Linked DNA regions of Caenorhabditis elegans. The protein of the gene in region 2 purifies or fractionates together with the protein of the main gene of each other region. This does not show direct contact. Each region holds a gene or a part of one and is shown on either strand. Other genes may lie near its edges.

Evidence for each region. Proteins that work in one complex are often made in the same cells at the same time.
Region 1: the proteins of srbc-62 (region 2) and gut-2 fractionate together in Caenorhabditis elegans (co-fractionation; one large-scale study listed by BioGRID). This does not show direct contact.

Annotation. Positions count from the first base shown.
Region 1 is NC_003283.11:13,495,856-13,499,319, forward strand, and holds gut-2 (U6 snRNA-associated Sm-like protein LSm2), read left to right. Parts: upstream 1-1,885; 5' UTR 1,886-1,920; coding exon 1,921-1,923; intron 1,924-2,110; coding exon 2,111-2,178; intron 2,179-2,595; coding exon 2,596-2,727; intron 2,728-2,777; coding exon 2,778-2,868; 3' UTR 2,869-2,964; downstream 2,965-3,464. Other genes in the region: eea-1 (FYVE-type domain-containing protein), read right to left, coding at 86-160, 255-1,196, 1,238-1,411, 1,468-1,512; avr-15 (Ig-like domain-containing protein), read right to left, coding at 3,085-3,374, 3,430-3,464.
Region 2 is NC_003283.11:17,216,372-17,219,509, forward strand, and holds srbc-62 (Serpentine Receptor, class BC (Class B-like)), read left to right. Parts: upstream 1-1,618; coding exon 1,619-1,793; intron 1,794-1,837; coding exon 1,838-2,295; intron 2,296-2,414; coding exon 2,415-2,633; downstream 2,634-3,138. Other genes in the region: srh-109 (Serpentine Receptor, class H), read right to left, coding at 2,882-3,138.

The DNA.
Region 1 (3,464 bases), 3.7 Mb from region 2:
TACTCTTTAAAGGCGCACATCCTTTTCCATTTAACAAAAAAGTCGTGTCGAGACCGGGATATAGAATTTTACATAACTTTCTCACCGTTTTTAGTCTTTCCCCTTGCACTGTTACTTTTTCCTCGAAAACCGCCTCAATTCGTTTCCTCTCCGCTGTATTCTGCAAACATTGTTTATAAAACCGGCAAATTGAAATTGAGTTTCAGGTTACAGCTTTGCCTAATACGATAAAATAAACAAAGAAATTAACTAACCCGCTCGAATTTTGAATTCAGGCTTATCATTTGTTCTTCATTAGATCCATTGATATTAGATAACATTTGAAGAGCATCTTGTGATTCTTGTACTTTATCTTCGAGCCTTTTAACGTTTTGCTTGTTTTCACTTAATTCGAACACGTTCTCTTCGATTCTGGCTTCTAATTGAACAACCCGTTCATTTCGTTGTTTCAATTCTTCGGATTGAGCATCATACGATATTTGCAACTGCTTCACAGTTTCTTCTCCTTCGCCAATTTTCTTTTCCAAGTTCTCATTTACGATGTGCTGTTTTTCACGTTCCATGCTTAAATTACGAATCGAATTTAGGTGTTCCTTGATTTCGATATCTTTCTCCTGAGAAATAGCATCCATTAGTTTTTGAGCATTAACTAGCTCAGTACGCAAAACATTCACATCATCTTCAGAAGGCCTCTGATCGAGCATCTTTTCAAGCCGAGAAACTTCGATTTCGTACCGAACAACATCTGATTTCACAACTTTCAGCTCTCTTTTCAGATCCTCCATTTCAACTTTGCCCGATTCAGATTCATCCGTAATTTCGCGCATTGTGACGCTCATCTGTTTCAATTTGGCCATCAAATCTCCACGTTCTTGTTTAACTTGTTGCAATTCTCGGGACTGCTGGCCGCTCTCTTTCTCAAGTTCCAGAAATTGCCGAGTAACCATTCCTTTGTCGGCTGTGAGAACTTGAATCTGCTGTGCCATGTATGGAATCTCATCTTCTGTGACTTCTGAAGCTATTGCCATTACCGATTTAATATTATCAAGTTCTTCTTTTATCCGTTCAGCAAAACGTTTCTCTTCGTTAACTCTTATTCGAAGCTCTTCAATTTCTTGATCTTTTGTAGCAAAGGCGAGTGGAGCTTGCTGAGGTGGAGTGTAATCGGGATGATTTCTGTTGGCTGATGTCTGAAACTATCAAAAAATTCTATTGAATCAGAGATTAATCAACTTACGTCAGAATGTTCTTTTTCAAAATGAACAGTAAGTTCATCAGGACCACCGAGCTCTACCATACACATTGGGCACAAGAACCCTTCGATCTCCTGATCATTTTCTGATTTTTGTGATTGCGACTGTGAACCTTGACTTGAAATACTTGGTCGACTGTTGTTTAGTCGGCCGTCAATCTAAATAAATTATCAAAATGGAAAAAACTAATTTTTTTACAAAACGGAAAACTTACATCATTCGCGACTTGCGAAACTTGTTCTTTCAACCTTCGAAGCATGTGTTCTGGAAAACAACAGTTCATCGATGCGATAATTCGAATGTAACGAACGGAGATTTAAATGTGATACACGAAATAGATTACAACAAATTGAGATATATCATCAGATCGATATAAACGAAGAGGGAAGGCGAAAAGCATTGATTTGACAACAAAACCGGCGCATTTTCTTCTCTTTCTGTCTCGAAAGATGATTCAAACATAGCGCAAAACAAACTGGCAAGTGGAATTCTCTGTTGGTCACTCAAATAAATAACCGGATTCCCTCTGATTTCTTTTCGTCTCTTCTCTCTCGTCTGGCAACGATGCTCCGTTTTGACGCAGTGCGCCTTGTTTATAATTAGTTTTGAATATTATTTTTTCATTAATTTTCTGAATCTTTGCAATTCTTCGACGATTTAACATAAAATGGTTAGTTTTCCTTTTAATTTTGTGATATAAATTGAAAAAGTACATACTCAAATTATTAAATGTGTTATAAAACTGTTGGTTGTCTCGGATATGAGGCTGTTCCGCTTAAATGTAATTTAAATTAATGGTTTAGGTATGTAGAAAGTCCCGAATTTTTGTTGTAACTCACGAAATATTACTATTTCAGCTGTTCTTCTCATTCTTCAAATCACTCGTAGGAAAGGACGTTGTCGTGGAGCTCAAAAATGATTTGAGGTGCGGTTTGTTAAATCAGTATATACAATTTACAGAAAATCGAGAAAATAACTGGAACCCATGTAAAACTTCAATTTCAAGACATTTCTTAAAAATTGGTTCACAAAAAATGCTTAAAACTTCTTGGGTTCAATATTCTGAATGTCTAGAAAGAATTCGAAACTCCCCGAAAATATGTATTAGCCAGACGGAAATCATTTTCAACGATACACTTCCACATAATGAAAATTCCGAATTTCTCGAAATCTCTTTAAACGCAAGTGCCATTCCTGGGTTTGAATTTAAATTATGAAATTCCATTTAAGATTAGTTCTGCTAATTTTTATAAGTTTTGAAGTTTAAATCTCACAAAATTAATATTTAAAAAATAATTATCTTATTCTAATCTCTCAAATGCAAATTCTAATAATTTTTCAGTATCTGCGGAACTCTGCACTCGGTCGATCAGTATCTCAACATGAAGTTGACCGATATCACCGTCTCCGATCCAGAACGATTTCCACATATGGTCTCTGTCAAAAACTGCTTCATCCGCGGATCCGTCGTCAGGTACAATTAGTTATCATTTTTCATAAATATTTCAAAATGATTCTTTAAAGGTACGTGCAACTCCCATCCGATCAAGTCGACACACAACTCTTGGCTGACTCCTGCCGGAAGGAGCTTCTCGATTCAAAGGCAAAACAGTAAATCCACGTGTTCATTCCTCAAAGTTCATCTCATTTTTTGTCAAGTTTGATATCATCTCATTTAAAAAAATATTTATTTTTATAAAAAATTCGTAACAAACAGGTTTTATTCACAGTTTCAAATGGTGTTTATTGCAGGCGTGTTCATTTTGTTTTCTCCATTGAGGGCACCGGTATGATAGTAGAAAGTATTTGATTGCTAAATAATTCCAGAATATTACGTACTGATGGCCACACCGTATTGTCCATAATGAGTCCAATAGGAGATGTTAAACGTGAGAAATAGTACAGGGAACATGACTCGAGATATAAGATCTGCTCTTTTCGACTTGTCATTCCATTCAGTCTTTGTTTTGATCCATTTCCAGACGCTATTTGTTTGACGGCGATTCATTCGAACTGTCATTACTTCTCGTTCTTGTTCAGCAACTTCTCGTGGTACCCACACATCGTTATGTGAATTTTGAAGGAATGGAAGTTCAGCTTTCTCTCTTTCAGTTCGAGCCCCTGAAAATTAGCAAAAAAAACGTAGGAAAAATTCTGAAAAAAAATCCCAACTGACTCTTATTAGCATCTTGCTTGTTTGCAATATAAGTC
Region 2 (3,138 bases):
TTTGTGTCTAAGGAAACACAAGGAAAACAGAAAACTTTTCTGGTCAGCATATTGTTTCAAACCTCGATACCCTTTGCCGTAGTGATCATACCACTTGCTATTGTTTTCGCCTTCAATTCATTTGGCTACTATTCTCAGAAAGCAATGAACTTGGCTTTTTGTTGTGCACTACTTCATGGCCTGTGCGAAAGTGTGGGAGTCATTTTTGTGCACAAACCATATCGAGACGTAATTGGAAGATGGTTGTTCAAAAGTGATTTTTTTAAAATGAAGTTGTATAACATATGATAAAATTTCAGGGTCAGAAATTTTCATCAACGTTCAGCCATCACGAGGGAACCTCACTAGAGATAGTGGTCATATAACTAATTTTTGAATAATTGTTCCTGAAGTTTTTAAAGTAATAACAAAGTTCTAGCTTTCTGGTGCACCCGAAGCGCAAATAGAGACATTTGTAAATTTGGAAAATAAAAGGAAACACCCGTGAATGCTAGGTTACTGAATTTCAGGCCCACAATCATATTTTTTTCAACGGAAAATTGTTACAAACTTTTATAAAGTTGGTTTAAAATCATTACTTATATTTGAATAAAATGAATGATCATAGTTTATAGCCTCTTTGTAGTCTGTGACGGGCTCCCTTTGTAGTGAGACCCTTCGAAAATACTATGGCGGGAAATTAAAATGTTCTGAGAAAACATTTTCACTGAAATTTCCAATTTTCAAAGAAATATATTTTGGCGGGAAATTCAACTTTTCGGAAAAAATGTTTTGGCGGGAAATTCAAATTTTCTGCGAAAAATATTTTGGCGGGAAACTTAAATGTTCTGAGAGAATCCGTGGCTCGTAAAAAGGGTTGGAAACTTAATGAACAAAATCGAGAAAAAAAAACAATGTAGCCAGAAAATGCCAGAGTATTGAAAGTCGGTAAATCATTCACTCGGGAATTCAAATTTTATTAGCCAGTTTGAAACTTTTTTTGTTGTAAAATTGAAAAAAAAAAATTTTTTAATTAAGCAAATTTCGGTCGTTACGACCCGTATTGTATCACTTGAAGCAAAAATGATCATTTAAATCTTTTGCCAAAATTCAATTGAAAATTCGAAATTTCCGTCGAAAAATTGATTTAAAAATTAAGGAAAATTCAAATTTCTTGATGGCAATTGACTGAAATTTCTGTGCGATTTAGAATTCTCAGCCAAAAATTTGACAGAAAATTTTTTTTTTTCTTTGAAGATTTACTGAAAATTTTTAACTTCCCGACGAGCATTGACAGTAATTTTGAATTTTTGAATTGGAGCAAAAATTCTCATTTTTCGGAAGCTTCTTTATTATCAAACTTTTAAGGCACGTGATTATGGCAAAGTCCTAGAGTCCTTTCAGACCGGAAAAATTATACGTGTGAGTAATGACATCTTTTTGGCAAAAGCCCAGTCAAGCGGTCTCTGTTCTTCTTCTGACTTTTGTTTATAATGGGAGGTTTTATTATTTTTTTTTGCTTTTATCAATTTCCTGCCTATATATATATATATATATATATATATATATATATCGCTAATTTGGAAATCATTTCTCTCGGCAAAATAGTGTGAATATTGTTACCTTACATTCATAAAAAATGCTTCTCGTCAAAACTTCAACCGTCATTTTTTCGTTTTTGTTCACTCAGACAGTGTTCTATTTGAACTTCTACTTGTTGTATTCTATTTTTGTTTCGAAAAAGCTCTGCAGAAAACCAGATTTAGTATTAATTTATATTCGAATTTCAGTTGATATGGTTTATTCGTTTTCTGGTGAGTCGTAGCACAAATAAATTGGCAACTCCATAATGTTACAGCATTCCTTATTCAAGCATACTACATTGCTCGCCAGATTCACCCTGGTTTTGTTATGAAGAACATGTCCTTCTACTTGGCATGGCCCGCTAACCTATTAGTAACTATTCGTCCGATTCTAGTATTGGTAATCAACCTGGACAGAATCTTCGCCACCTATTTTCCAATTTTATACCATAATCATCGTCACAAAATTACGTTACGCGGGATTTTATCACTCTTGCTTGCATGTTTACTAGTTCATCAATATATCCTCTTTGGATACTGTGGCGTTGTGGTAGATGTGCCATTGGACTGTGATCATTTCAAGTGCACTGTGAACGCGTGTTTTTATAGTTATACATTGTCGGTGGAGAAATACACAGATTCCTTGATTTTAGTCTCGTTGGTCATTTTATCGTGCCGGTTTGTAATCTGGAATTATTCTCAAGGAACACAAAAAAATGCACTGTTCACAAAAGTAAGTTTGTTACCGTAGTTGTTAAAAACCGCTGTGACCAGGATTTGGAGAGATTTTCAATGTAATTGGGCTTTACTAAGTTAAGTTTTCACTGTTTTTATTGCAGAAAAATATTTCAGGCAACCCGAATTGCACTCATCGACTCAATTATCATATTCATATTTAGTTTTCTTCCCTCAGCGATTTCCCAGCAATTTCAAAGTGTCAATTTTGAAACGGTTGGCCCGATAATGACAATGTTCAAGAATATCGGATTGTTCATCGAAGCACTAATTGTGTTCAAAGTACTGTCCAAGGAAGCGATTGTGATTAATACAATGAATAATGACAATTGTTGATGCTTTGTGAATTGCTTTGTTTTAAACTTAAAATTCAGTTTTTAAAACAACATTGTTCAACTACCGGTGTTTTATTTTTAACCCAGCCCAAGAAGAAACCGATGAATTGCAGATTTTATCGAACCGTCTAGTTTATGCTTTGTTATCTCTTTTCACTGGTAGCGTCGGTTTCGAGTCTGTTAAGGCGGTTGTATTAGCACGTGAACGAAACAATCTAAAACATAATTTATATTTATTTTAATTATCAATTAATATAATTCAACACTTCTATGGTTGGCGATTGTATTTCCTGTTCCGAGTATTCTCCTAATGGCTGCTCGATAGGGCTTGTGTACCAACATGATTGAAATGCTTTCAGCAAGCCCATGAGTTGCAATACAAACGTTAGACAAATTCATCCATTCTTGACGATAAGTTCCCGTCCACGATGCTAACAAAACCGCCATAGCAGGTGCGATTATAACAAAAAGTGGAATTGATGTCTGTATTGATACAGATATCAAAA